Linked DNA regions of Bombyx mori. The protein of the gene in region 1 purifies or fractionates together with the protein of each later gene. This does not show direct contact. Links are inferred from orthologs where the notes say so. Each region holds a gene or a part of one and is shown in the gene's direction. Other genes may lie near its edges.

Region 1 (16,260 bases):
CAGCTGATGTCACCCCACAAGGCCAGTTTGAGGTTCAGGCTGTTCCTTGTACTTCAATGCCAACATCCTCAAGTCAGTCTAGCAGTCTAGAGAAAAGTAAGAATCGATTTCATGAAAGCAATTCTAAATTTTAGTTGTAACGAAGATCTGTAAAAATAGTTCAAAATTCCTACTAATATTATAAATGCGAAAGTAACTTGTCTGTCTATTACACTTTCACGTCTAAGCCACTGAACCCATTTTGATGAAATTTGGCACAGACAATTTGTAGACAGAGAAAGGACACAAAATACTATTATCAAGTGATAGTACAGGGACATGCGATATAACCGAATCCCATGCGGGAGAAGCCACAGCCGAAAGTCTAGTTTAAATAAATGAATATAATTTTTTCAGCGTATGGTTCTGGTTGTGTTTATTTAACAACTAGCGACCCGCCCTCGCTTCGCTTAGGAAACTGTCATTAATTATTGATTTCTCCACTATTTAATGGATGTTATTATACATATAAACTTTCCTCTTCAATCACTCTATCTATTAAAAAAAACCGCATCAAAATCCGTTGCGTAGTTTTAAAGATTTAAGCATACATAAGGACAGACAGATAGATATAGGGACAGAGAAAGCGACTTTGTTTTAACTATGTAGTGATACAACATGTTTAGTTATTGTTTTAGCTATTTTTTTTAATATTGTTTATTTGTATTGTACTGTTGGTTTCCCTTATAAATAAATAAAATATAATAAGATTATAATACATACTAATTCTATTGTACTTCATATATTTTTACAGACGTCACCAAAGGAAGCCAGCGGAAAGAAAGTGAAAGTCAAATAAGAAAAAGAAAATTAGAAGATGTTGGTGAGTTTTGTATTATTAACTCCATCTACTTATAGCACCACTTTTAACGATTGGTCAATAAGTATTAATGTAATTTTTTTGTTTTAGATGTTACACCACGGAAAAGGAAGCTCTTAAGTGAATTGAGAAAAACAAAGTGCACATTGGCATCATTAAAAAAGAGCGCGAAACTAATAGACAATTTATCGTCAGAGTTTCTAAAAGAAATTGTCACGTCTGCGTTGATAAATCAAAAGCGTAAGTCACAAGGCAAACGCTGGACTATTAAAAATAAAATATCAGCATTAGCCATCTTCAAGCGTTCACCAAAAGCTTACCGATATCTGCGATATCTCGCACCATTTCCGAGTATCAAAACATTGCAAAAATTAATGAAAAAAATACCTGTTGAGCCAGGTTTAAATACAGCTGTACTTGACCACCTGAAAAAACTAGCTCCCATTAAAAAAATAAGAGCAAAATTATGTTCGCTAGTCTTTGATGAAATAGCGTTAAAAGAAAGGTTAACTTATAGCGAAGCCACAGATAAAGTGGAAGGGTTTATCGATTATGGATATGAGAGGAAAGATGAGCTAGCAAATCATGCCTTAGTCTTCATGTTACAAGGTATTGGGAGAAAAATTAAACAACCGCTGGCATTCTATTTCATAAGAGGCACAGTATCTTCAGAAAAATTAGCAGTTTTAATAAAAGATATAATTAAAGAAATTACTAACTCGGGATTTCAAGTTTTATCAACAATATGTGATCAAGCGCCCACCAATATGGGAGCATTAAGTCTGTTAAAGGAGTGGAACAATGGTGGACATAATTATTTTGAATTTGAAAATAAAAAAATTTATATAATTTATGATATTCCACATTTATTAAAATCACTGAGAAATAACTTTTTAAAACAAGGATTTCTGAAAATGGGAGAATTGAAAGGTCAATGGAGCCATTTAGTTGAGGTAGAGGAACGAAATAGAAATTTTTTATATCTTAGCAAACTCAAATCAACTCATGTACAACCAAAGTACAGAGCTAAAATGAAAGTTAAGTATGCCGCACAAATATTTAGCCAAACAGTGGCTGCTGTTCTTAAATTATTAGCTACGAATGTGGAAAATGTACACCGATCAGATGAAATATTACAGACTGCTTTGTTAATTGAAAAATTCAATAAACTTTTTGATTATACAAATGGGCCATCAGGACATGCTGACGTAAAAAAAGGTATACGGGAAAACGTATCTGCTAAAACTGACCATTTAGCTGTTTGGACAGAATATAGAAAGCAACTGTCTACTTTAACATTTTTCAACCATAATGGCGTGGAAGCAAAAAATGTAAAGTGTGTTCAAGGCTACATTATATCATTAAAATCGCTGCGTGATATTTGGCTGGAAGTTCAGGATTTAGGATATAAGTATTTGAATCTACGGCAGTTAAACCAGGATGCATTAGAAAATTTATTTGGGTTAATAAGACAGCATGGTCAAACAAACAAGCATCCGACGTGTTCTACATTTATAGCAGCTATGAAAACCTCTATAATATCAGGACTTACCGCCCCTCACAGCAAAAACTCCAATTGTGAAGAAGACAAAAAGGAACTCATGACGGATTTTCATGATTTAGTTTTTGGGTTTAAAGACGAAGATGATCAAGGTCAAGATATTAATGAGTCTCCTAGTCATGTTTCCACAGAAAATGAAAATGAGGAAGACAACCCGGTTCTCAGTATACCTGAAGAAGAAGAATATAAAGAAATAGTATGTGACCTAGCAAAAATTTCAAATCAACCAGTGGTCTATATAAGTGGATATCTAGCTTCTGTTATTCTAAAAAAAAATGATTGCCAGGTCTGTAGAGAAACTTTGACAGTTGCAGATCCAGAGGAAAATAAGATTTATGATTTAATTAAATTAAGGGAGTGGTGGCAAGATAAGAAATGTTTGACATATCCATCATTGCAGTTGTGTCAAACTGTACACACTGCGGTTACAAATTTTGAACAGTTTTGTATCCCTAACCTACATAATAACAATATTTGCCAGTGGACAATTACTATATTTTATTCAAATTGTAATACAGAGTGGCTATGCATTAATCATCGTCAACAAATGTCAGACTTATTGTTTACAAAATTGGCTCTAATGCTGATTCGGCGACAGTGCCAGATAATTAATTTAAAGCAAGTTTCAAAGGAAGAGGATTTGGCGGACGCGAACAAAAGGGGTCAACAATATGGTGTTTCAAGATAATTACATAATTAGTTTTTATTTGTTTTTTGTAGAAAGAAGTTAACTTCGGGTTTGAGTTCAAAAAAAGTATACATTTAGAGATTTAGAACTTTATTTTTTTACTATTATAAAATAGAAGTTTTTAAAAATTTACTCTTCAAATGGAAATAGAAACGAATTGTTTTTTATTTAGCACAAAAATTTTCAAAACCTAGTTCGTTATAACATTATAAAACAAGGTTGAAAACCTCTACATGTATACTTATTGTACCTTGCATAAAATTAAGTAAATATTGGTTTATATTGTAAAATAAAAATTAAACATTTCCGATACAAACTTAAAATTTTTTGTAAGCGTTAAAATTCTACTTACAAATTTCATTAAAATTATACTAAGTAATAAAACATTGTTTTATTTCTTTTAAAATAATAAAGTTTTTATTTCAATATGCAATCCTTGCCTGCATTCGATATCGACAAAAATATCGATAATATTCGCATCATTATTTATTGGACATCGATATTAATGCCCATCACTATTTTTGACAGTGGTAGGATTTTTGTAGTCTGTGGTTGTTTTAATGTTGTCACCAGATCGGATCTGATCCCATACATTTTCATTTTGTAACGTTTACTATGAAGTGCGGACTCTTATAACGTAGTGATTATATACTCTTTGGCAAAATTAAATGAACAAGCAGTAAATTCAAATAAGAAACTTGGTAAATAAAATTTAATGCAGAATCTGGGGTGAACTTAATTGTTTATGATCGGAATCAATAGTTTTACTCGGAATTAGCTGAGTTTACACTGTATGGTGGCGTTAAGCTATACATTTGATTTCTATGAAATATCAATTCAGAAATGAAATGGTCCTCTGTATTTCTTTGTTTAAAAAGTGAATAGGTAACAGATTAGACACTAGATTTCACAGGGGAATTCCAAATTCAAAACGTATCAATGATTCATATTGTAAACTTATTTCACAGTGAAAGGCAGTGCTTTTAAAAATAAATCTATCATAGTCTATGCTTGAATTCTCTAAAGCGATTGGTCAGTGAACCGCTGCGAATATTCGTTCTCGTTCGGAAAACGCCAAATACGCTTTCAAACCAAAATGGAGGATTTGTCGGTCGAGGTGTACGGTGAAAATGGTGCTTATTATAAGGTTTGTAAACCGTGAAGTACGCTAAAATTTGAGTAAACACGCGTCCCTCTAATTAGTTTACAGATCAATCAATCGTAGCCGATGACCAGGGCAGTGATATGTCTTATACTTACAAAAATATTTTTCCGGGAAGATCTCTGCTGGAATAGACGCCATGTCCGTCTGACAGGGCGTGATTTTTCCATGTGTTGTAATAATTTTTATGCTTGTAGTATTTTTAGAAAATATCGTGCAGTAAATGGATGTCTGCTCCTCATGTGGTGATTTAACATTAGCGTATTTTCGCGTAAATGACCTAGTTATCACATCCGCAGCGCATCACCAAGTTGCTGTGGCTTTAAAATGTTCCAAAAATTCTTTATTTTTAGGCCATTGTCACCGACGTGCTCGACAACGAGGTTCTAGTAGCCTTTGAAAATGAGTGAGTTTATTTATATTTAGTATGTAAATTTATATACTAGTGTATAAACTGTCTTATTTTTTGTAAATTTATTGACTACGTTTGATTAAATTTTTAGCTGGCAGCCAGAATCAAAGTTTCCGTTTTCTCAAGTTTTCTTACCACCTAAAGACACTGGCAAACACACAGAATTTACTGAGAACCAGGAGGTGGAAGTATTTGCTAGGTCTAATGAGAAAGAAGCGTGTGGGTGGTGGACTGCAAATATCAAGGTATTGAATTACACACACATATATTAAACAAATCAAAATATGATAGAATTTTATTCTAGAACAAATGTTTTCGAAACTACCCTTCATCTTGTTTACTTGTACATGATTTTCTATTTTAAACCCTAATTTCTACCCTCCTTTTTGCTTTTTTGTTAAAAATTTTTGAAAACTTGCCCCAATTTAACTTAGTCTGTTTGGTTTTATTTCAAAAATATACTAAGATTTGTTGCAATTTAACTTCAACAAATTTTATTAAAATTTTTTTTAATTTAATTTATTAAAAGCGAATTAAACATTTGGTTACTTCAATTTAGAGTCCTTTGAAGTATTAATCCAGAAATACTGCCTGTATACAATATCAAATACAGCAAATCTTGCTATGTTAAATTCATCACATTGCATAATAATGTCTAGACTATATTTTTGTTTTTGTTTCTATAATAGTTTTATGTAGAATGTGGAATTAAGAATCATATATGCCAATAAAATGTCAATATTTTTTGCAGATGATGAGGGGTGATTTCCTTGTGATAGAATATCTAGAATGGGATAACTGTTATACGGAAATTGTGCCTAAAGATCGTCTTAGGGTAAAATTACCGAAGACCCCAATAGACAAAAACACATTTCACAAGTTTGAAATAACAGTACCTGATGAACTGAAGGACTAGTGAGTTATAATTTGAATTATAATATTTATAAAAAAAAAACATGCATCATATTGAATAACAATCACTTCCCAGTTGGAATAATGTCTCCATCATGCTATTATAAAAGTGGGTATAATGTATGCTAGTGTTATTGAAGTCCCATGCAGCTGTCAAGTGGTCTCTTACAAATTGGTAGCTAATGGGATAATAGAAAATCTTAAGATAGCTACTCTCCTGTAATATTTACTAATGTAATAAATATTTCATATACATTTTTAACCAAACATGACCACTAATAAAGCATATGGAGTAATTATTATTACATATAACTCTTACACATCTAACATTGTTGATATCATCTCTTTTGCTAAAGTAAAAATACGTAGTTGTTCACTAGGGACCACAAACAAACATATTAGAAGTATCATTAGTTGGTAGAAGGGAGATTGTGAAGGGGTAGGTACAAGAATTCAGTATCTGTTTTGAAATGTTCATATTCATATTATTCATATCTGTAGGTAGGGGAGTTTTTATATCAATGCTATTTAGACTTGAGTTGTTAAGGTAGAATGGATACATTGATACTAGTAATGTTAGTAGTTAGCTGTAAGCTGATCTGCCCAACATAGCAATAAGAAAGTTAAAGAATATGTGTAATGTATTCAGTCTGTGAACTATTTATGAATCTATTGAGTCTTAAATTAAATTCAACCCTCCTGTAAAGGTTCCAACTCCTAAAGTATGACATAATCTGCATTCATACTAGAAAAGATAAATTGAATTATTATTCCATTTATATATTGGTCAAAATTTTAAGAAAACAAAATTTAGTACCTGAAAAAAATTTGTTGCATTAATAAATAGTCTGATAACTTCATAAATACTAAAATATACCTAACTTTAAAATTGAATAGGAATATAAAGATCAATATGTTGACTAAAACTGAGCTTATGATATTTTTGGGATACAGGTGTTAAATTCAACAGTGTGGGCAAAGAGGATATGAATTACTTGTAATTTTTTGTCTATTACAACTTAAAATAACTTTTTAGTTAACATCGCTAAATGCTGGCTGGTGGGTTGATTCTGTTTGGACAAACCTTTTTTTTAAATGAGAAACATGTTTATTTGCTATGTCTGAATGGTTTATTGTCATATATTTAATTGTTTATAAATTTTGATGTCTTTTTAATATATCAGTCTGGTTCACCATATACCATACTACAGGAAATAATTGTTTGGGGAAAAAAATTAATTGAAATTTGTTAAATATTCAAAATTAATTAAAGGGTCAAGTCAAGCAGTATTTTAATAAATAAAACCATTGGTAAATAAACCAACTGAATTTATTATATTGAATACGGTGGTCACTTAAAGAAAAACTTCAAAAACCTCTCAGCCTTGTTACAACTATAAAATATACTACAAATTTGTGCTTGCTTGGGGTACAGCTCCCATAGGATAGCATTACATAGTTAGTATTTCCATTTAAATTTTATTTAGATATTCACATCATTTTGACTAGGTTTCATACTTTGTGGAAGTTCTGAGGTAAAGGAGAAACTTTAGCTCTGTTAATATCTTGTATAGCATGGAACACTTCAGGGAGGAATTGTTTTGGGGGTTCACACTTTCATTTTTACCTAACCATGAGTGCTATAATATGTAAGATCAAAATGATTTTGAATGGAAGAGTGAATAATTAGTCGGACACAAGCATGGCTGATGTTGAGGTTGGGTCGGCAGTAACTATATGGTGTACGTGTGCAGCCTCCACGACATCCACAGCGCGAAGGTGGAGAACGCGCACAAGGAGTTCCAGAAGGCGATCGGCGCCGCGCTCGTCTGGTACGTGCCCGAGCGCGCCGTGCTCGCCGTGCTCTCCCGCTGCGCCTCCTCGCAGCGCCGCGCCACCATGCTGCAGGAGATGCACTTCCGGTACCTCCACACCCCCACCCCACCCCACCCCACCCCACCCCACCCCACTACACTACACTACACTACACTACAGTTGAATATGCTATTTCGAAAAGGGCACATCTCTGAATATATAAAATGTTCAGGAAATGAAAAAAAGTGATTATTTTCTAAAGCAGTGTAAAATTTAAAATATTAACTTTAGAGACATATTTTAGTGTTAATTGGCAATTGAAAATTACTGGAATTATTATAAAATGGGTGTAGGTAAGCCTCAAAACTACATGTATATGAAAAAACCTATTTGACAAAATATGCGACATGTGCCCTTTTCGAAATTTCATATTCAATTATAAATGCTAGCATTACTAGCTTTATTAGTGTGGACGGTCTTAAAACTCATGCCACACGATAAAAGGACATGCTCCGACGATGTCACGTAATATAGGATTAAAGCAAGAAAATGGATACTATTATTATCAATCACTACATGTGATATTTGTGTTATAAAATCTATGGACCGCAGTCGCTCTATAACATGGCGTCCACTGTGATCAACTGTACTTGTCTATGTAAGATAAAAAAAGATGTTTCTCCCGCCTGTCGAAATTATAGCCTAGCCGATAGATGAGCACTTTGTATAAACTCTATTTGGGGTACTTGAGCGATCTGACTATTTGATTGAAATTTCTTTTTATTCGAGACCGCTGAGGTACTTGATGGGGAGTAACCACCATACTTCAGGGCCATTAGCAAATCTAGATCTGCAACCAAGCTGTAAGATAATAGAAATGATATCAGTCAACAGGGCAGTTACTGGTAATACTAACAGTTTAAATTATTCAGCAATGTATAGGTAATATCTTAAATATTAACATCTCTAAACGTAATTCGCGATACCCACATATACCATCAGAATTATCTATCCGGCCATGCATAGCCTCCTCCGACTTATTGAAGGATAGGGATAATGCTGAGAAATATTGACCATACATTGGTTAGTTACTTCACTTGATATTCATGTGTTTGAACTATATGGCCACCTACTCCATATCAGGTCACGATCATCACAACAACCAAATAAACGGGATATCCAAATAATAAAGAGACTTAAAATCTACAATAGGAATAGGTTAGCTTGTAACCTCACATTGGCAATGTTCGTAATTAAACACCGACTAGTACAATCCTTAGAAGCCGAATATGACACATAACTAATTGTAAAAAAAAATACATGTACTTGCCAAATTTTATATTAAGATTTAGTGTCTCGTGTCTTGTTTTAATTGATTGCAGTAGTAATAAAGTTTATTGTGGGACATGTATTGCGCGTTGTGGAAGCGATACCTTTCACTTTTCACGCAATAGTTCGCAGGTTCGGAACTAGGCATGTGCTGATAGATGTAGCATATTTCTTTTTCTTTCTTTTTTCTTCACATTCCTCTAAGTCATGTGAATTTTATCCAACTGCTCAAAGATGGCGGCTCATTGGGAATTGTTTCAAATCTTTGATCGCATTTACCACGTTTTGAATAAACAGATAAATTCATTTCGCTTACAAAAACAAAATCTAACAATTTCTAATTGAAGTAGACCGTAACAGCTGCTACACAATGTTCTTGATTGAAATAGTCATGGAATGCTGTTACACACTAATCTGTAAAAACAGGTATTGCTTTCTTCCATATATAAGAAGTTATAAATTACAAAAAATATTGTAAATCAGTAGATACATACATAAAGTGACTAGGACCAAAAGGATTAATCCTAGGACCAAAAAGGAAATTAGACAATTTAATGCACCGTAAATTCTGACTGAGAATATCTACTCACTGAATCTAATATTTAATATGGCATGGATCGTAGTCATGGTTTGGTTACATGCAAGAAAATAACCAAATGGTTTTGTTTTATATAGTAATAAAATATTAAATTTTAATTTTCAGAAATTTGACCCAGAAACTTATGTTATTGAAGAAAACAGAGGAGGCAGCGAGGCAGCTTGAATCTACGAAAATAAACAATCAGGGCGGGTGAGTCACTACTGTACACGTGCTCTCGTTATGATTCTCGAAAAAATCGTTTTTGTTTAAAAAGTGAGAAACTATTATACTTTCAAACAGTTTAAATAACCTACTGTGAAGTAGGAACCAGAACAAGTTAATTATATTTCTGATACATTCAATATTCAGCATTGAACAAGGATCTCAAGTCAGAAATGTTGACTTGTGGTCCTGTTTTGTTGAACCAATAGACTCAGGCTTATCTCAATATAAGTTTAATGGTTGAACAAAACTGGTGCTAACATTATCTGGAGCCCCCAGGACCGCCGGCCCTTTAGATTGTGCCGAGACGGTAGTATTAGGCTCTCCACATTTTTTACTCTCCTCTTAATTCTCTACATGAGTACACGATCAAAGTACGCACAAATGCAAAAAATGACTACACAACCACAACACTTTGATTACTGACTGTTGACACATTCACCTTTATTAATTAATTAACAATATTTAAATTATTATTTTTGAACAAAACTGAGTTAAACAAAAGGTTGTGTAAGGATGTTTTATTTTCCTTGACATCTGGCGCTTTGAATATTCAAATATAACTATATAATTGTAATATTTCTCTGGAATTAATTAATATACTTTAACTAAATTGCAAAGCACAATTTGTGCAAAATAAATACTAAGAAATTTGCTAAGTCAATTATATATTTTTTCATTAGTTGTTTTTATAATATTCCAAAGGATTGACAAAGGACAAAGGATTGCAGTAGAAATTTTTCTCAATTTAATTTCTTGGCTTTAGAACAAGTAATGATTATTTTATAATTTCTGCTGGTTAGAATTTTACACTGGTGTGTCATGTAGGACCACCATTTGGTTGATTTCTTGGTCTATTTGGTAATAATGGTAATTAATATCCGAAAGGCCAAATGCTCAAGTTCTTTCTGAATTTTATTTTAAAATATTTCTAACTTCGAGCTTGTGTGTATTTGTTTTTAACATCTCCTCAGTATGTTTGTGGTACACAATAAAAATGAAATTACAGGATAATATAAAAATTGAAAGTTTGACTAACTGCACACTTCAACTATGATCGTAAAAATTAATCGATTAATTTGATATAGCAGTAAAAATTATTTAATTTATTAATTTATTTATAGCAGAAAATCAATGAACAATGTAATAACAAAAATGGAATGTGCACAGATACACCGAAGAGTTCAGCGTGCGCGAGGAGCTCATGGGTCTGGCGATCGGCACGCACGGGGCCAACATCCAGCAGGCTCGCAAGCTGCCCGGGGTCTCCAACATTGAGCTTGAGGAACTCACGTGCACTTTCAAAATATGTGGAGAGGTAAATGTACTGTGTGGAAGCACGTCAGAGCCATAGCAGCAGGAACCTCTTAGATATTTCTTTAATACATAAAATATATCAGAAGGGGTAAATGAGTTACAAAATTGTTTGGTTTGTTTGTTCTTAAAAATATTGCTGTTGTTTTCCACTACTTAATAAAGCCTGTTGCTGTGGGAGCCAGGGGTGACAAAAGATAATTGTCAGTCCTTATCCAGCGTTCGACGTATCGACGCTTTTATTCAGTGATCTAGTTAAAGATTTGTACTTGTTGCTATTACGAGAAAGATTTTCTCTCTTACAACACTAACATAAAATACAATTATCAGTCAATTTGTCTCTGTTTTATGTGACAGAACAAAGTTTAGCGAGCATTTTACTTTTTTTATGAAAAAATAAACAATGTTACTTTAAAAGACATATAATGTAACTGGTAAAAGATAAAAATATAATGTTGCAAAGATGATTAATATCAAAAATATAACATGTTAAACCTTTAAAACCCTCTCCTGTAAAATGAGTAAGTTTTGAGATTATAGAGTCCTTGCTGCTGTGCTAGTAACTGGGACTACCGATGGGCTGTTGAGTAACGTAGTGCGTGCGCGCAGTCGGCGGAGGCGGTGCGGGCGGCGCGCGCCGTGCTGGAGTACGCGGAGGAGTCGGTGCGGGTGCCGCGACAGCTCGTCGGGAAGGTCATCGGCAAGAACGGGAAGCTCATACAGGAGATCCTGGACAAGAGCGGCGTCGTCCGGGTAACCTACCGTCCACACTATTTATTACATTTTTTATTTTTATTGCGTATATGGGTGAACCAGCTCACGGTCTCCCAATGTTACCGGAGCCCATAGACACATACAACCTAAATGCCGCTACCCACCTTTAGGTATGAGTTCTAAGGTCTCAGTATAGGCAGAAACAGGTGGGTAGTTGTACCTACCCGTGCGGGTTCACAAAACCACCAGTAAAAATACCTTAATAATTAATAATATAATTAATTAATAAGCACAGATTTTTATTTACTTGCTATAGTTTAAGTGGTTGTTTTAATGATTCAATGTATAATTGAATACAGACCTCGCTACTTCTATGTGTAGATTAAATTCCAATATTTGATAAAATTTTGTAAAAGATGAATATGTGTTTATAGGTGAAAGTAGAAGGCGACAACGAGCCGCAGCCGGTGGGCCCCCGCGAGGACGGCGTCGTTCCTTTCACATTTGTCGGTACTAAAGAAAACATCGCCAATGCTAAAGTACTTGTCGATTATCACATTGCGCATCTCAAGGTAAGACAAGACGCGAGCGTGCTTCTAGAGCTTAACTGATGTAAGGCGGGCTTTGGTGTAATCGATGATATTACTGAATTATTTCAATATATTTTTCCTTAGCTGAGAGCCTTGGTAGGCTATATCAGCGTAACCTTAACTAGTAGATGAGCTCCGGGGCTCAAGCCTGAAGACGCTGCTAACACGAACCCTAGCAAGAGCAATGCTTCGCAGAATCTACAACCAGATCGGAAACGCGACCCACTGAGAAGATCCGGCGAGAAACTCAGTGGACTGTGTCTGTGGGTTAATTTACTCGTCTAGCCCTTCGTCGCAAGCGACGGGTTCGACAAGAACGATGACCGGATTTCAAATCACAAACCACTTATATGTTTAGTGGATCGAGCGTTCGCCCGCATCGTTGTTCAGTCGTATCTACCACAGTGGTCTTGTGCTACGAGTATTGAGTAGTTTGTTGCGTTGCAGGAGGTGGAGCAGCTCCGACTGGAGAAGCAGGAGATCGACCAGCAGCTGCGCGTGGTGCTGGGCAGCGCCGCCGCGCACCCGCCGCCCCCCGCGCGCGCGCGCCGCCCCCGCCGACCCCCGCCAGGTACCGATATGTTTCAATTCTATTTTAATTTATTTATTACAAGCGGTCCGCTCCGGCTCCGCTCGGGTCTTTAACAAGAATTTCAACGATATTTGACGTTGTTTTATTTTTTTGAATAAAAAAACACTTATTGCGGCATAATTATAATAGTTATACATATGTTGTCGTGACACTTTTTGTAAATAATAATGTCTTCTACAAAGTCGTAGCACATTATTTTATTCTATCATCAATAGTTTTGGCAGGGCACGCGATGTCAAGAATATTTTAGGTAATTTTTTTACACCTCGTGTTACATTATTGGAGTTTCTAATTTAAAAAAAAAAAGATTGTAACCCTATGTCATTCGGAAATTGTGTAGCTTCCAAACAGTGAAAGATTTTTTTAAATCGGTTCAGTAATTTCGGAGCCTATTTAATACAAACAAACAAACAAATCTTTCCTATTTATAATATTAGTTTAATGTCTGCATGTTGTGTTGTACGTATGCTGTACACATTGTGGCACGCAGGTGGCGTGGGTGAAGAGCGCGGCGACGGGAACAGGCATCGAGGTCGGGGGGGACACCGGAATAGGTACACGTACGTTACCTCATGGTTTTTTTATAATTAGAATCGCCAAATAGAAACTAGTATAATATATATACCTACTAATGAGCTTAATTATATATTTGAAAACATTATTAATAAAATATAATAATCCCAATTTTTTGAAACAATTCTGAACCCATCAATATTCAAGAATATACCACAACCATCAAATAAATGAGTAAATAAGTTGAATGAACCCATGAAAAATAACTGCTGAAACTTTTAAGTCTATTAGGTATGTGGATCAAGGTCTATATGATATACCTTTTGAATTATAATAAATAAGAAATAACTTGAAATGAATTTTATTATTTGATTTTGATTTAAAGCTATTATGATGAAGCTAGGACTCGTTTTTATTCTCATTTATTTTCTTTCAACACTGCTTAATTATTGATTATAGAATCCAGTTTAAGACCAAAACTTAATTCAATATGGGACCTGGATTTTTAGAAACAACCTGATTTAGAAAATGGTTTTTCTAAATGGAATCTCAAAGGTCGTTGGCCATTTGATACCCTGCGTTTGGTATGCACCATAGATGTAATATATAAAAATATTAAAAGTCCCAATTCTGTCACTGGTAAACTCGTATAGAATATATTAATAGTTATTATAATAATTGCTTAGATACTGCTAGATAGTGAATTTTATTATCATGAATAAGTCGTTAATTGCGTGCAATGTGTACATTTTCCAGATCATCAGATCGTGAGGACAGACGCGTGCCTCTCGAGAACGGCCGCACCGCGCCGCCGCCGCGCGCGCAGCGGGGCACCGACGTCAGACCCAACGTACGTACTCGCGCACGCAAGATCGGATAGATGTTATTTTCATGTTTGTTGATTCAGGCAATTGTAGTACAATTTTATAAAAATTATATATTAAAAAATGTAATTAAATCATAATAGATTGACGATGAACTATTCTTGTCTGATAGTTTGTTACATGTTAAATCTTATATTCTGCGAATAACCTTTAAAGTATTTTTAAATTCAGACCCAAGTAAAATTTCTGTCTATCGTGCGCGATATGACATCTTAGAACGTAATTGGTGCTGGATGTGTGGCTCAGTGCCCTGTGTCGTGTTGCAGAGCGGGCGGCGGCGCGACGAGCGGCGGCGACCCACCGACGACGACAGCTCCGCGCTCGACAGCCGGGACGTGTCCTCGGCCGACAGAGGTACCGAATACGCAAGCTCAACGACATCCAATATCATCACTACATAGTATAAAGCAAAGTAGCTTTCTCAGTCTCTATATATCCCTATGTATGCTTAAATCTTTAAAACTACGCAACGGATTTTGATGCGGTTTTTTTAAATAGATAGTGATTAAAGAGGAAGGCTTATATGTATAATAACATCCATTAAATAGTGGAGAAATCAATAATAAATTACAGTTTCCGAAGCGAAGCGAGGGCGGGTGGGTCGCTAGTTAACTATATTTATAGCTTTGTTCGACTCTAAATCTGAAAATATTACTGAATGTGCCAGTGAAAATGTAGTTCATTTTATGTATTTACTTTCCGTTTTATTATTAGCATTTTGATTAGTACTTTTGCACCCTAGTTGAGTCTCATAGTTAGTAACGAGATGAACAGCTCTTTGTATATTGTATTTTAATTAATTTGAATCTTTAAAATTTAACTTTTAGTATATTTAAAAAAATACATGGAAATTAATAAATTCCATATTGGCTTAACGTATTTCGGAATATGCAAATATGCAATAATAAAAGGCTGTTGGTCTCCCGGGCGCGTGCACTGAGCCGTGTGTTGCGCACAGAGTCGGCCGCGTCGGACGAGCGCCGCGACCACAGGCGCCGCCGCAGGAGGCAAGGTACACTACTCTACACTCTCTCTCTCTCTCTACTCTCTCTACTCACTCGCACAAACATCAACTGAATAGAGACTCGTACTATAGCAACTGCACGTCTTTAACTTTGCATGATATATGTGTCTCAGCCTCATTTTATTTTTCACACTTTTTTTATTCATTTTGATCGTGCCAGTTTGATTCGCAGCCATTGAAACACCGAAAAGGCACACTGTGCCGTTGTCGTCTATTATTAATAAAATTGACAAATAATTAGTTGAAGCTATGTATAAATCAAGTATTTTTTAACAAGTTTATATATAGTGAAAGTAAAGCGAAGAAGGATCAGAGCATCGTTCATACAGAATGCAGTGATCACGCAGACAGTTAAATTTGTCAATATTGTATAGGCCCGTCAGCGCTGCTGCGAACTTTCTTCGTTTTCGGAAACGACGTCTCCTTTACACGAAGCTTTAGTTATACCGTAATGTATAATCTGTGCATGCCTAGTGCCATAACTCTCACATCACGTAAGATTTTCAGATTTAATATCGCTGTTTATGTTCATTGTGTGGCATAGATGATGTCCATCGCACTGCGGCTTGGTATTAACACTGTCGCGTTTAGGGTTTGGACAGTCTGTCAGAAGTATTTATATGAGTGCACTGTTGTGTATGTTGCAGGAGGCGGGTGGAAGAACGGCGTGAGCGGGGGCGGGGCCGGGGGCGGGGAGGCGGCGCGGCGGGGCGCGGGCGGGGCGGGGGGCGCGCTGCTGAACGGCACCGCGTAGGGGCGCGCCGGCGCCGCCCGCGAGGCTCGTGTCCCGACTCTGCCGCCCCGAGCGGCCTCGTGCATCGACTAGACTTACTCGTATTATGCTTTTGTAAGAGATTCGTGATTTGTATTCCTGATTATTCGATTGATATGAAAATTAAACATGTGTACGTCGCTCCCCCGGACTGTGCGCCTTTCGGCCGAATGCGTTCTTTCGGCACATTTATGGGAGATCGGACATAGCGCAGTACATACGTGTGTCGTAGCCTGTACTCTGTGGTTATGTGATTTCCTATAAAATAAACATTTCTGTACATATTTTCAATCGTATTTTTATTTGTACAAATAATT
Region 2 (16,468 bases), on another chromosome or scaffold:
TGCGTTTCGGTTCGAAGGGTGGGGTAGCCGTTGTAATTATAGTGAGACCTTAGAACTTATATCTCAAGATGGGTGGCGCATTTACGTTGTAGATGTCTATGGGCTCCGGTAACCACTTAACACCAGCTGGGCTGTGAGCACGTTCACCAATCTAAGCAATAAAAAAAAAGCTGAGTTTATTCTCGCGTATTACGCATATATATATTTTTTTATTGCCCTTGTAGGCAGACGAGCATACAGCCCACCTGATGGTGAGTGGTTACCGTCGCCCATGGACTTCAGCAATGCCAGGGGCAGAGTCAAGCCTCTGCCTACCGCTTAATACTCTCTACAGGCCTCGTTTGAAAAACGACATGTCATAGCGCTCGGGAAGCACCGTGGAGGGGCGCTCATTCCATAGTCTGATGGTAAGTGACAAAAAAAAACCTTTGGAAACGCACTGTGGATGACCGCAGTGGTTCCAGGTAGTATGGATGAACTCTACTCCGGTGGCGGGCGGTGCGGTGGTAAAAACGAGATGCCGGTATCATCTCGAACAATACCTCAGAGCACTTCCCCATGGAGCATACGGTACAAAATACAGAGGGAACCGAAGTCCCTCCGCAGACCCAGAGGTTCCAAACGATCCGTGAGAATGGGATTATCGACAATCCGAACGGCCCTCCTCTGTATGGAGTCAAATGGAAGAAGCTGGTATTTGGGGGCCCCGGCCCAGAGATGGAAGCAGTACTTCACGCGAGGCTAGACTTGTGCTTTACAAAGCAAAAATCTCTGTCCAGGCGTGAAGTACCGCTTCGCTCTGTTGAGGACTCCCAGCATTTTGGACGCCAACCTGGCTTTGCCTTCCAAATGACTCCGAAACTGGACATCGCTCGAAATGTCGACCCCAAGTATCCCTACTGAGTTTCTCGCCGGATCTTCTCAGTGGGTCGCGTTTCCGATCCGGTGGTAGATTCTGCGAAGCACGGCTCTTGCTAGGGTTCGTGTTAGCAACGTCGTCAGGTTTGAGCCCCGTGAGCTCACCTACTAGTTACGGTTACGCTGGAATAGCCTCTCTAGGCTACCAGCTTAGGTAGGAAAAAAAAAAAAATAGTATCCTCTCGGAAAGTTGCAGGATTACTAAATACATATGTAGATATTTGCGTATTTTCCGCAAAGCAATGCTCTCGCTCTTGCTAAGATCTCGTGCTGGTCACCCAATCACAGTGCAGCTAGAATTTCCCTGAGACTTCTGGCAGTTTGGTTAGACAAAAAAAAAAAAAAGATTTTAAAAATTAAATATCATTAAATGGTGTTGATATATTAATTTCAAATAAGCTGTCTGAGATTTACCACTCCTATAATACTTACATGTTCATTGGCTTGTCTCGAACTTTTTTTACAGATTCAGGAGCCGGCGTGGACCTGGCCAGTGCAATTTGCTCTTGCAGTAATTTGTCAAATTCGTCTTCTTCTTGTGGTGGTGCCTCATCTTCACTGGAATCCCTCTGTACCACTGTTTCTTCTGATGTAATCTGATCTGTACGAATTTTGCATAGATGTACCTGTAGAGGAGAAATTATATTTGTTTAATTTTAAGTCCATATTGAAAAGCATTGGCTCAATGTTACTGCTTGTATTTGACTATGCCAATTTTTTAAGCATCATTCTCCAACCTTTATAAATTCAGTGTACATAAGAATGTACTTTTCTTCACATTTAATTACAAACAGATGAAACAACAATACATAATTAGCATAAAAAGTGAGTGAATCAAATTGCAGAGGAATTCAAAGATGAATATAATGTAAAACTATTGCCAAAATGATGCACACAGTTAGATTTCTTACCATTACAGGTCTCTTTTTGCCGAGTGATTCTATTTTCTTTAAACAGTCTTCAAATTCAAATTTAGGATACAATCTATATGCCCAATGCTCTAGTTTTTTGAGTATTAAATCTAAATCTTCTTTTTCGTGACCTTTACCTGTAATTTATAACAGGATACAAAATTATTAAATTGTAATTCCAATAAACCTTAAAATGTATTTTTGTTTAAATTTTAAAAATTAATTATCATCGTAAACAATTTATTATAAAATGGTAATATACATTTGATAATATCATCTAATTAAATCAATAGTTAGTGTATCATTTCAGTGGGCCATTTCACAATCAGTTGAACCAATTTCACTATACTTTTTTTGATATAGCAACAATATAAAGTTAGAATTTTTCTGTATGAATATAATTAGTCTGTGCAGATATTAAATTAATAGCAAACATTTGTTTAATTAAAATATTACCTCTAAATTTAAAATCTTTGAAATGCTCAGGTATAACTTGTATTCCTCTTGGCCCTGTCAGACGAGCGGGGTTCAGTATGAACCTTGGATTCCTTACAACACGTTTTGTTTTGGCTTGTGGATCTACACGTCTAGTATCCTCCTCTGAAAAGCATTGATAACTGGATTGACACAGAAATCATTAAGTTAAGTATTAGGTGCATTATTTCTTTACGGCTGTTTAAGGCAGAAACTACAGTGGAAGGTCCCCTGAATGAGTGAAGTAGGAAGACCTCGAGCAGGGAGAGACAGCGGTATATCGTGAGTTTCGTCAAATCTGTCCTCTCCAACATTAAATGACCGTCACAACCGCTCTGTCAAGGGTGAAACTATCAAGAAGAAGATAAACCATATATCTGTTTCAGGATATCGTCGCTGTCAAACCAAAATCTGCTATGTGCAAAAACTCTATTTTGAATGAACGATTAAAAACATTTTCGTACAAAATTTTATATAAAGATTAATTTTTAAGAACTTTATCAAATGAAAGCTATAGATAAATATTAAAGCTATAGACACAGTACAGTTTTTTTTTGGTACGGTAGACAGGGCTGTGAACTATACGAAACGGTCAAAAAGTAAAAATCTCAAAAAGTTGCACATAGCAGATTTTGGTTTGACAACGACGATATACTTTTTGTGTGTTAGTTTGCACTAAACATTATGTTCTTCGATTCGAATAAAAAAATTATAACAAATGGTATGTACGATCGACGTGCCTTATCGCTTAGAGAATCGATCTAGAAAATTGTGTTAATAATACCCAGCTACACATGAAAGTACTTACCGGCTTCGTCTCCTTTAGCGCTATTATCATCACTATCTGGTGATGATGCCCGTTGATCGTCGTCAAACTCGTCACCGTCGATTACCCGCTCCAATTCCCGAGCCTCATTAGCTTCATCTTGAAGGAACACATCTTCCAAAAGAGACATTTAAATATTCAGTTATATGCTTATTTGTTTATTAACAGGGTATACGTCTGTAGGTTTCACGATCGTAGTGTATAATTGTAATAAATTGTATATCGATAGCTCTTTGTAACTTATAATTTAACGTTATATTGGTTCTATTACTGTACTCTGTCTGAACCAAAATAAATATTAATACACCTACGATACCTACATACGTTGAGGTTAGAACTTTTTTTTAATTGACAAAATAAATTTTAATAACAGCCACATATGTTTTGGCGGTATATATATCTCAAATATATTATGTGTATAATCTATGGGTATATGGCAGTGTTCGAAAACTAGGTATCAGTAATTGATCGAAGAAAAGAATGATTGTGAAAATAGGAAGCATAATTAAGCATATTTCCCAGATGGCTAAATATTCATGTCCTAATCAAAACATCATGTTTTGTAACGTCTCGAAAAAAAATTAGGATTGACTTGAGTGAAAATAAAATCTGATTATTGTGAAAAAATATCAAATTTTTGAACGGATGCCTTTTTTATTTTCGTGACTTAAATAAAAGTACCGGTAGAATGGGGCGATTAGGGATTGAAAGGCGAATCGGGAAAAAACCGGGAAAATCTTTCGACGCTCAATATAAGTTTTATATTCGTTGCAAAATCTTCCATTTTTTTGTAGTTTAATAGTAGAATGTTGAAAGTTCACAAAACAACTCTGAATATGCATGATAATAGCTGCTAACTTATAAAAAATCGCGTTTCAAATTAACTTCCTGTGGTGGTAATTATTTTAGTGCTAGAAACTTTGCTCTATTTTATTTATTTGATAATAATAGAAGACGACTATGATTTATAAACGTTATTTAGTGTTTGAACCAGCATATATATTAAAGGTAAGTCTCAGTTGTTATTGGTTTTAATGTATTTGATTAAATAAAAATACATGTAAAAATCTGTTGTTTTTGGGGATATTGGGGACGTCTTAGGTACAAATAACAACGAAAAAGGGGTCAATTGGGATGAGAATACTTGAAATGGAAACAACCTAAGTATAAATAGGTACAGGTTTGTAGGGTTGTCTATGTAGTTATAACAATATTTTTTTAATTTGTTGGTAAAAATCTGGTTTATCGAAGCGAAATTGGGAATAAGTCTTTAGTTGAAATAGATAAGCAATTTAATATAAGTAAGTCGATTTTGCAGAGACATGTAACAATATCAATGAAATATCAAGGTGGACAAAAATGTGTAAGTAATACATAATAAAATATTTAATATTTGTTCAGAGTGGGGGTATTCATCTGATTAATCCATGGAATAACCGACACACCTAATCTCTTAACCCAGATAGAAATATCAGCCCCTAAGTACTTACCAAGAACGGAGAAATATAAACCGTTTCTAAGAAAGCCCACTATATATGTGTAAATATACATATTATTATATATATATATATATTTTGTTGTTACTGCACTGTCGATTGCACCTATAATTGAGGTGATGTCTGCCATGTACTTTTGTCAGTTTTCAATTTTTTTTATTGACGATCACTTTGTTGGTGCAACTAAATAAATAAATTAATTAAAACTATATATAAAAATAAAAGTAGTGCCAACCCTAGCAAATTTCTCATTTCGTCCCAATTAACCGCAATTTCCGGGTAAATAGGGATTACACCTATTTTTGCATTTTTTGCTTAAACTGGAATGCTACTTGCATAATTTTAAATTAGACAACAAAGATGCCCCCAAGACTCAATCATTTTGATCCTGATATAGCATTATATACATCAACAACTACCTTAAAATTGCTCATAAAGTTGGAATTTGTCCCTAATCGCCCCATTTTACGGTAATTAACGAACGTCCTGTGTCTTAATCGACTTCAATCGTTTTTTAGGGATAATAATACCGGTCCTCTTTTCAAAATTTAACTTTCATAGCAAAATTATTTTTTATTATAATTATTATCTATTAACTACCAAAGCAGAAAAACTTGATGATCTACTTCTTCTAAATGTAAAATAAATAAATGAACAGGTTACTTGTGGGCTACAAGCAATATAAAATTATAATCATTGAAATCGTCGTGCCCTAAAGGATAAGACGTCCGATGCATTCGTGTTGAAGCGATGCAACGGTGTTCGAATCCCGCAGATGGGTACCAATTTTTCTAATGAAATACGTACTCAACAAATGTTCACGATTGACTTCCACGATGAAGGAATAACATCGTGTAATAAAAATCAAACCCGCAAAATTATAATTTGCGTAATTACTGGTGGTAGGACCACTTGTGAGTCCGCACGGATAGGTACCACCGCCCTGCCTATTTTCTGCCGTGAAGCAATAAGCATTTCGGTTTGAAGGGTGGGGCAGCTGTTGTAACTATACTGAGACTTTAGAACTTGTATTTCAAGATGGGTGGCGCGGCTACGTTGTAGATGTCTATGGGCTCCAGTAATCACTTAACACCAGGTGGGCTGTGAGCTCGTCCACCTATCTAAGCAATAAAAAAAAAAAAAAAAAAAGTCGTCGTTTATTTCGTGGTGTTTTCAATCAATTGATGAAGTTCAAAACTTTTGTTGCAAAAATTCAATTGCTATAAGTTTAATCCTACTGCTCTACCTGCATCTTAACGTTAAATAAATACACAAAATCTGCAATTGAATCATCTTTCTTGAATTCAAACTTCTTTTTTTTCATTTTTTCTCTCTTTTTAAATTGTATAAATGCATAAAATAATTTATGACGCTCACTGTCACAACTAGTTTAGCTGCTTCAAGCTCCATTGTGAGTGTTGTGTGTTAGTGCGTTAATTCACGAGGAATGAAGTCTTAACGGTATTGTAACCTTAATGTGGCCAACGCGCATTTTTAACGCGTAAATAAAAATATTAGTTTTCATAAAAATAATCTCACAGATTATAAAACTAAAAAATAAAAACCGTAACTGTTGCGAAAAATTTAAGTGTCACAACTCTATGGAGTCACGTGACCAGCTTGCGTTTGAGCGCATTCACAGGTATGGAAATCGGTCAATTTTATTACAAAATCAGTTAAATTTCGGACTGTACCGTAGATTTAAGGTAAAGAATATTAAATAGTTGTGCATATTGTGTTGATGTGTATATGAAAGATATGTTGATTTGTGCTGTGCACGGTTATTTTTGCGACAAAGGCTGTCATTTTGATACCAAGAATGGTGCTTCAAGAATGGCGTCCCCCACATGTGCCGATGCCCTATTGAGTTTCGCCTTGGCGGTGTTAAAATTTGATGACGTGAAATGTTGATATGGCGTGCAATAATTCATGTGTCTGTTGATCGGTAGAGTTTACTGTAAAACCTTTAAATCCTTGCGCTGTCTCAAAAACTTGACCAGTGATTCATTGTTCGTAATTTTGCGGATAACGCCGAAATAACACCACCGGTAAATATTTTAGGCGGTAAATAATTCGTAAAGAATGTTTATTTTGATGTTACGTAAGCTTTATTACGGGAAATAGTCATTTTTCCGAAGATACTTCCAATTGTTTTGTTTACAATTTTACCGCTGTGTATGCATTTATTTCGTACAAGCGATTTAAATATTTTATTTAATTTTACATTCATATGACGTATTTATGTATTTATTACACCAATAAGACTTACAATCTTCTCAGACTTCTTATGATTCGCATTTTAGCAGGTACCTACTGAATATAATCGGAAATTTCGGATTTCCTGTTCTTCCAGAATGTAATTACATAATACAAGCCAAATCCTGTAACGAAATATAATTTATTACGTAGGTACATTTGTTATAAGAGTCCAATAAGATATTGTCAAAATTCATAAAATACTAAAGTTATAATAAAAATAATTAATCAATAACTAATAATGGCGGGAATGGAATTAAAATTATTTTTATGGTATTTATGGTTCTTATATATTAACGATTAGATAGTTTTTTACAGTAAAACAACAGACAAGTAGGCTAATTTTTAGTTTAGTGGTAGGATTCAATATGTAATTAAATTTTGAGTGCGACCTCAAAAATTTCATTGTCATAACACTATGAAGTATGAAAAAACCGTTTTCTTCTTAGTATTAATAATTTTCTGTGAAAATGAGCAAACTGAAAGTAAGTGATTACATTTGTGATTACAGAAATATATCTCAGGATCATTTGTTAAACAAATATACAGCTTAACTAATGAATATATAATTGACCATAACACTGTAATTTCTAAATATTCTTTGATTTCAATTTAATTATAATAATTATCTCATTCAATAAACCTGGTATAATAATTCCACACAAAATATCACGTTGTGCCAACGAGCTAGGTTTTACGTTATGTAGAATGTTGTTGCCATGCTGAAAAAGAATATTAAAAGCTTTGCACAACTAAAAAATCCACTTTATTTTAAACATATAAAATCCATGTTCAATACAACAGTTCCAATCGAAAATATTCTTTCTTTTTCTGGAAAGAAGGTCTTAAACGTATTATTGTTACCAAAGGTTACAAAAGAATAAAATCTGCATCTGTGGCACAAGAATAGAATGTTGGTAATCATAAGAACATTGAGGTGATTGATATATTGGATTTTGTATTCATAATTAATAGTAGTGTCTGGGGACTTGATTTGTTTACAAACTTTGACAATGTATATAAACTGATAAAGTTTGTTGAACTTTGGGATTATCTTAATCATATATTATTATAATTTAGTACTATGAATTTATTCATAATAATATTTTTATTGTTAGTTCATAAAGTTGGTAATATACTTTCCTATTAAATAAAGTACAATAAATGCTAAATAAAAATTTAAAGAACTAAACTAAATTAACATAAAAATCAAAATAAAATTTCCTGATTGCCCATGAAACATTGCAATTTTGGAACCTATTGAATTATTCATTTTTCATCAAGACCATCATCGAAATCCATATAAAATATTAATAGGCTTAAAATGTTTCCATTCTTACTCGCTCAACAATCTTAAGTCTTATGATAATTAAATGAAGTTCATTTTTCTTTTTCTTCCGAGTCTGTATCTTCATTTTTGAAGGTTGTATTTAGTTTGATGACTTCTTTCATCATCCATTGCACAATTCTTCTGTTTCTATTTTTTTTTCCTCAAATTCCTTAAATATTTCTGGTTTATAGAAGTCATACAATCAAATCGAGATCTTATATTTAAAAGGCTTGTACAGAAAATTGTTTTATTTCAAATTGAACAACAGTACAATCAATTTATCTGAATGTGGCATAAGTCAAAACTGTATGAATAAAAAATCTATATGCAAAACATTTTAATATATTGTTTATTTCTGTACCAAAGTAGTAGTTATTTTAGTAGTAAATTGGAACTTTTTTTGCCATTGTAAGCCAATTCTCTTAATAATACTTGGGATATCATGAATATTTTAATAAAAATACCTCGGGGTTTGTTGATTCCTAATTATTCTCTGTTATTGGTAATCTTTCATTCACTGACTATACCAATGTTTTTCTCGTTCTGTAGTAGCAAAAGCTTACTGTGTAATATTCAATAGAAATGTTAGAGCTAACCCAATTTTACGAATTCATTAAATACATCAAGAATTTCCTCATGAATCAAAGGAAAATTATCAATAAAACAAGAAAAGTTTAATTTTAATATTGTTTGATTAAAAACCAAATCGAATTTCAAAGGCAGATCATATTTAATTAGTAATATTATCCTGTACATGAGTTTATGAAGTGATTGGTCATGATTTTGAGAAAGCGCACGAATAAAAACGCCTTGTGTTAAATATTTTCTCACTGATGATAAGAAACGTATCGTCTTACGAATCTCTTATTACGTGTAGCGTGTTTTTGCGAAGTTAAGTCAATTCACTAGCTCAGAGTCTGGATCGGGTATTCGTGATTTGAATATTTTAAATTGTATTCGTATTTCTAATATAATCAGGATTTTTTGTCTTTTAAACAGAAATATAATCACTAAATATTATTAATCAAAAGAAAGGGATTAAAAGTAACAATTAGATCTGCTTTTTTTTTGGCTCTAACATTTTATTTTATTTTATTGTAGATGAAAGTTTCAGTTATGGGAAATATTCAAATCAAATATTTAAAAAAAATGACTCGACCCGTCCGCGCGAAGCGGGAATAGCCTCTTAGGATACCAGCGAATAGGTAGGGAAACGAAATAAAGAAAAATATGCCTGTACATTTCGAAATAATAATAATTGTCATCGATAAGTGCAAGTATGTAACTAAAGTATACCAAAATCAGTCATGCAGTATGTACTCACTCTCCTTACAGTTTGTTCTATTAAATCAACTTCATATTAAAGATTTACGTTCAGTATGCTTAATGCTTAACGCAGTAGTGTATGAGTTCGTTATATTAAGATCTAGACATCAGCTTTTGGGGGCAAACGCTTGAGTCATAAGGCCAGAAAACTGTCGAGGTCTTAAAGTTTAGTAACAACACTACTGTTTTTTTAACGTATTTTTTCTTATGTAAAATTGAATTGTTTATATCTGATGTGTGACCTGAAAATGAGTTAAGCTTTAATGTTTTTTTATGGAGGGTAGGAATCGGTGTACATCATTTTCTCCCCGATGTAAATGATGTAAATGTAACATCATGTAATAGAAAACGAACCCGGTATAATTACAATTTGCGTAATTATTGTCAGGTAGGGTGTCTTAATCAGCCCCCACGGGTTTGTACCGCTACCCTTTTTTAACGCTGGGGAATCCATTTACGGATACCCGGTCGAGTACCGCTACCCTGCCAATTTACATGAAGCATTAATGCGCTTTAGTCCACTGAGTGTCTCAGCGGATCTTCTCAGTGGGTCACGTTTCCGATCCGGTGGTAGATTCTGCGAAGCACTGCTCTTGCTAGGGCCAGTGTTAGCAACACCTCCGGTTTGAGCCCCCAGAGATCACCTACACGCTAAGGCAACACCGAAATAGGTTCTCAAGGCTATCAGCATAGGTTACAAAAAAATGCGCTTTAGAAATTTGGAACAGCCACTTGAAGCTGAGGCTTCATATCATGATGTCTATGAGCTCTGATAACTATTTAGCTGCATGTGGACAGTAAGTTTGTTCACCTGTAGTATGTAATAAAAATAATAATAACGGGTGAACGTTTTCATCAAAGAAGTTCATCATTTTTAAAGTAAGAAGAACGATATGTGGGTAGAAATAAATACGTGTATATATATCGACGTTTTGAAAATGTTCCCCTTAATAGGGTGAAAATTGAAACCCCCAAGATTGAAATTTAATAGGCGATGCTCCCTCACTTTTGAAAGTAAAAGATTGAAATTCAATACCAAAGCTTCTTGTGTATTGCCTAAGAATAAATATTCTGAATAATACAAATAAAACAATTATTATAATGTACTTTCATTGAAAAGTCACAGGTATTTAAGTTGAGCAAGTCGCTAACTTTAATTAAAATCGTATAACAAAAACTGCACCCTCTGTGTTAAATAAACTCGGACATTTTAAAGCAATCACTTTTTTTGTGGACTTTAATAATCGTTCTTACATATTAAAAATCAAACAGAATAACAAATATATAAAAATGAATTGCTGTTCGTTAGTCTCGCTAAAACTCGAGAATGGCTGGACCGAATTTGGCTAATTTTGGTCTTAAATTATTTGTGCAAGTCCAGAGAAGGTTAAAAAGGTAAATAAACATGAAAATACTCTGAATTAAATAAAAATAACAATTTTGTTTTTCCTTTCATGCGTCCCGTCAGACGGATTTCTTTTGAATGTTTTAAGTTTATTTTATACAAAAGCTTAGGGTCTTTTATTTATCGATTGAGGCACTAAGAAGTCTGCCAGGTCAGCTAGTAACAAATAAAAAACAACAAAATTAATATGCAATCAGTGACTAATGCTAATATGTCAAAAAAATCGCCAAAACGCCAGTAGGTCGTCATTATACTAGAAGGTATATTATATTCTAGAGAATTCTAGAATGTCGTGACTGGTTAAATCAAAAACGTGGACGGTTGACTTGACGAAGATATTCGTCATTGAATAGGGATCAAATTTGCTTGCTCACATTTTTTAGTAAGCAAATCTGCTGACGAGGTCCAAGTCTAACCGTCGATCTTATGTAACTGATACTAGTGATAAAAGCTTTTAAATTCCAGACTTTGAGACGTGACGAAGATTTTTTTAAATTAAATTAATTCTAGTTTAGAAAATTTCTGTGTTTTCTACTAAAAGTGTTTTCCTGTTTTCGCCACTGAGATGAGATCAAATACAAAAATACCAGCTGCGTCTCAACGTTTAGGTTTTCTCATGTTTTACTCATGCGTATGTTGAATACCTGAATAATGTAAAAAAGGCATTTACCATAATTTTAGGTAAGGTTCCTCCTTATTAAATTTATTTTAATAAAAATACCAATAGATGTAAGTACGTGGGAGTGGTAGACATAATCGTATAACAAAAAAGATTTCCTAGACCTATTAGGTAGGGAAGCAACAGATATGCACAACCACTTGCTCTTAATGGTCTGACGCTATGGAAGCTGTCCCTTAACTGTTTCTTTAACATCGCTTCGTTCAAGATTCTCAATTACTTCGCACATTGTTTTTGTTATATAATTAATGATTGCAAAAAGAAATTTTAAAAGAAATACTCGTAGGCACCGGCACATGTTTTTTTTTTTAATTGTACTGAATAATATTTAATGATTATGTAATGGGCTGTACGCTTATTTAACACGCTAAGAAACGTTAAAAAGCATTTTTTTTAAACTTGATCTCTAACGATTATAATTTCATAGTAAAGAAGAATTGGCTTTTTAGTGCATCACTTGGAAAAAACAGATTATTATTATTTCGTACCGTATTTTCAGTTTTAAACCTAAAAATGCTGAATAGGATAATCGAACAATTTTATTAAATTATTGTATTGTCATCGGTCCTTGATGAGTGTGACCAGTTTCAAACAACTTTGACATTTTGAAGGGGTTGTAAATCACGTCCAAAGATTCCGTTACATAGATGCATAGAAACAAGGTTGGAACATTGGCCGAGCTAATAAAAGCCTGTTAAAAAACAATCCATCCGGTTTTACAGAACGCATAGAACACGAACAAACTAGCAGACAAAGATACAATCTTAATGTATAATACTTTGTATGCAAACGGTCCATTTGTTACACCAGTCCAGTCGATAAGTTTACGACCGTCCGATTGGCCTTGTGCAGATTTTACAACAGAAGCACGCTGACCCTTATCGAACGATGTATCTTGCGATTGCATATGTATTATTAACCAATTGCCGTGAAGTGATGCATCCGTTTTTCGAATTCGATACAACCCTTCTTAATGTCACACAATGATATTGTGTACAACGCGGTAGATGTGAGAGAGCAATGTTTGATTCCTTGCCAATTGTATCAAACACTATTGAAATGTAGATATATTTTTGGGAATATTGACGGCGTAAAATCAAAGATATCCTTCTGTCGAATTCTCATCTTGATGTAATAGTTTGTATTATTTTATTTTGGGACATGAGGCCCAACTGTTTGATTTGATATGGGTATCCAAAATCATAGACGCCACAATATGAATACGTGCCCGCGGTCGCACCCTTAATTTTACAAAGGGATGTTCCACCTAGCCAAGCAGGGTGGCCATGTGAGCTGAAAAAAGGTTCCATTAGTAACAGACCACCGTTCGCCGTAATTTTGAGTTTCTTATTCATTCGTTTTGCTGTTAAGTGCGATTTTCAATGGCCCAATTGAGATATCGTTAGAAAAAAAAAATTGGTTGTTTGTAATTACAAAAATGATTGTAAATAGACATGCTTTAACAAAAACCGACTTCAAATAGAAAAAAATATATTCCAAAACAAATTAACTAAAAACATTAATCATCGAAATCGGTTGGCATGATATTGAGTTAATCATCTGTTTGTTGCGCACGTACTTAATGCAAATTTAAGACTTACATGGTTTTCTCATGGATACCATTATCAGAACTGGACTAAATTGAAACGGGACTACACGGGAAGCCTCAGCTTTCTAATAAAAAAATAATCATCAAAATTGATTCACCCAGTCAAAAGTTATGAGGTAACAAATATAATAAAAATACATGCAGTCGAATTGAGAACCTCCTCCTTTTTTGAAGTTGGTAAAAAATATGGACAAGCTCGTACCGACTACATTCCACATTGGAGATAAACTTCGTTGTTGCTGTTATATAATACTCGTAGTTTTAAGGACAATTTTTCCAGTGTCAAAATATCATGGAGCGCCATCTTTATTTTAGTTTTTTGCTTCCATAATATTTAAACATAATTGTACCGAAACAAGCGAAACGAATCTCTAATCTAGATTAAACCTCTTATCGAAAACAAATTAACAAAAGCTCATTTTGTCCACAGCTGCTTGTAAATAGAGGCTGTAAATATAAAAATAAATTTAGTTAACAATGAGTTTGGGAGCGCGCGCCACCAAGTGTGGTGCGAAAGGCAAGGAGGGCAAACACGCCGCCGACAAGGGCAAGGGCGCAGATAGACCACAGCCCAAGGAGAAGGCCAAACCGCAGGTCAGTGAACTCGGAACGTTACGGTTCGATTTTATTTAATTTAGATATAACTAGGTACATATTTGAATGGATTTACTTACTATCGAAATGAGTTTGTTTTTAATGTGCTCTTCGTATTCGTATATATTTTGATAAGTCTAGTCTCTTTGAATAAGTAAACTTCGAACTTTGAACTATGGTTCGGTGTGCTTAGTGCGAGTTAACGTTCTCGATAGCGTAAAAGTTAAGTCAAATTTGTATGCAATCGGAACAGCGCCCCTAGCGGCAAACGTACGCAAACGACCACATTCCTAACGTGACCATTATTTTTTATTGTCAAAGCGGGACATCTGCGAAAATATAATATAATAAAAAAAAGTATTTAGTGCTTTACAAGTATTTTCTTACAGAAGATAGAATAACACAAAAGAATCAAAGCACTAAACAAAAAATAGTTAGTACTCTGTAATAGTCTGTACCTCTTTTGTTAAATTAGCCCATTTAAACACTTCTAGCTTTATATTGAATTGAAAAATAAATTTATCGTTTGGTCTGTTTGAAAAAGCGGAACTATGTCGGCCTCACTGGGGACAACGGGACAGAATGCCCGAAAGCGGGACTATCCCGCCAAAATCGGGACGTATGGTCACGTTACTCAATCCATACAAATATGAGTTAACTTTTACACTATCGAGAACGTTAAAAAACTCGCATTATGCACACGGTTTTATTTAATTTAGATATAACTAGGTATTTGAATGGATTTATTTCCTGTAGATTTGAGTTTGTTTTTAATGTGCTCTTTGTATACATAATAGGTATTTTGATAAGTCTAGTCTCTTTGAATAAGTAAACTTCGAACTTTGAACTTAGAACAAGCTCTCAATATCGATCTAGTACGTATTGTGTGTAGTAGTGAATATATATTTTTTTCATTGCTTAGATGTATTGGCGAGCTCACGGCCCACCTGGTGTTAAGTAGTTACTGGAGCCCATAGACATCTACAATGTAAATGCCGCTATCCACCTAGAGATATGAGTTCTAAGTCCTATACAGTTACAATTTAATCCCTGATTACTTTTAATCAGTGCCGGATTAACCATATAGCAAGAGTAGCAATTGCTACGGGCCAATCAGCCTGATAATCAGCTCTACAAAAAGTCTGACGTATGCAAGCATTCTTACCCGACACAGTGTGGATGTGTAGCAGAATTGAAATGGTTCGATTTAAGCTTTTTACCACTTTATACTTAAGAACCCATAGTAGATCAAGGGCTCTTTGAAATAATTTGCTACGGACCCGCGCTTGCTTAATCCGACACTGCTTTTAATGGTCAGAGAGCACACGACTTTGTTAAATATTTGTTTCTTCTATCGTGATGTAGTTAAATGTAAATGAACTGTGTAAGTCTTACTCTCTTAATAACAGTTCACCTAATGTTAAGTGACAAGACAATTCCCATCTTTCAAATTGCCGTTTCGCGAGAGAAATATTCAGGTGAAACCGACGAGTGCTTATTTATGATAAACTCAACAATCAGTATTCAATAGACGCAAATATAGGTCAACACAATCACAGTGGACATTGCGTTTTAATAAAACATCTTAGATATATATTCATCTCTTTCCTACCCTAAATGAAATTGAAGTTAGGGCCTCCGTGTGACAGAGAAGTAAGGGATGCCTCATCATCATCATCATCATTATCCTGCCCTTCTCCCAGTCACCTGGGGTCGGCGCAACATGTTTTCTCCTTCCATACTCTTCTATCATATACCATTTCTTCGCTCACTCCCCTCCTGCCCATATCGTCTTTCACACAATCCATCCATTTAATCTTAGGTCTACCTCTTCCTCTAAGTAAGGGATGCCTATTAAAGGGAAATAGTTAGGGTCGTATTACCGAACTGAACGCTATCATATTCTTCATACGTGTGGTTTAAACTATAAAACTCCAGGTGTGTCATATGTAATCAATCCTAAAATGGTACATGATTTTTTTGATTACAATTAATAACTACGAAGCCATAACCTCGTGTAATCTGTATATATATATATATATAAATACGAATTGCTGTTCGTTAGTCTCGCTAAAACTCGAGAACGGCTGCACCGATTTGGCTGATTTTGGTCTTGAATTATTGGTCGAAGTCCACAGAAGGTTTAAAAGGTAGATATTATATGAAAATTGGAATTAAATAAAGTTTACGTCTTTTATTTGGCGATTGAGGCACTACGAAGTCTGCCGGGTCAGCTACTGTAATATACATAATTATATTTGAGACATTACTTTTGAGGTATCCTTTTTGATTGCAGGCGACTACAGAACAACTCCGAATGGCACATATGATCGACCGTAAAAGCGACGACTCGTCCGAGGTTCGACGAATGGTGAGTTGGAATGGAATATTTTCATGAATTATCACATCAGTTTGGATCGGTCAGCATCTTAGGACGGCATGTCCTGAGTACTTTTGAGGTTCTGATCGTGACTTCTGAGGTGGATTAGACAGTGGAGTCCACAGTATCCTATTAGCAACAAGTATGAGATGCTCGTCCGGTGACTGACCCTTGTAGCAGAAGCTATTACAGAATAAAGGCTGTTTGACAACAACCTAAATGGCGCTAACTGCAAATTCACTGATGGTAGGACCTCTTGTGAGT

What was found.
Region 2: the proteins of RNA-binding protein FXR1 (region 1) and protein lingerer purify together in Drosophila melanogaster (affinity purification with western blotting; 3 studies listed by BioGRID, with this or other methods). This does not show direct contact. The link is inferred for Bombyx mori from reciprocal best matches to the Drosophila melanogaster genes Fmr1 and lig.

The regions. Positions count from the first base shown.
Region 1 is NC_085112.1:15,597,830-15,614,089, reverse strand, and holds RNA-binding protein FXR1, read left to right. Parts: upstream 1-4,086; 5' UTR 4,087-4,204; coding exon 4,205-4,255; intron 4,256-4,623; coding exon 4,624-4,676; intron 4,677-4,773; coding exon 4,774-4,927; intron 4,928-5,433; coding exon 5,434-5,597; intron 5,598-7,348; coding exon 7,349-7,516; intron 7,517-9,441; coding exon 9,442-9,528; intron 9,529-10,710; coding exon 10,711-10,858; intron 10,859-11,463; coding exon 11,464-11,607; intron 11,608-12,002; coding exon 12,003-12,140; intron 12,141-12,605; coding exon 12,606-12,729; intron 12,730-13,240; coding exon 13,241-13,310; intron 13,311-14,019; coding exon 14,020-14,113; intron 14,114-14,413; coding exon 14,414-14,501; intron 14,502-15,105; coding exon 15,106-15,159; intron 15,160-15,818; coding exon 15,819-15,925; 3' UTR 15,926-16,234; downstream 16,235-16,260. Other genes in the region: uncharacterized protein LOC119630931, read left to right, coding at 4-96, 794-862, 950-3,108. UniProt on the Drosophila melanogaster protein: Polyribosome-associated RNA-binding protein that plays a role in neuronal development and synaptic plasticity through the regulation of protein synthesis of mRNAs.
Region 2 is NC_085134.1:1,834,251-1,850,718, forward strand, and holds the start of protein lingerer, read left to right. Parts: upstream 1-6,114; 5' UTR 6,115-6,267; exon of another isoform or gene 6,268-6,673; intron 6,674-13,660; 5' UTR 13,661-13,707; coding exon 13,708-13,824; intron 13,825-16,120; coding exon 16,121-16,195; intron 16,196-16,468. Other genes in the region: TIMELESS-interacting protein, read right to left, coding at 1,351-1,544, 1,830-1,966, 2,286-2,429, 3,112-3,259. UniProt on the Drosophila melanogaster protein: Acts in the nervous system to mediate the control of copulatory organs during courtship.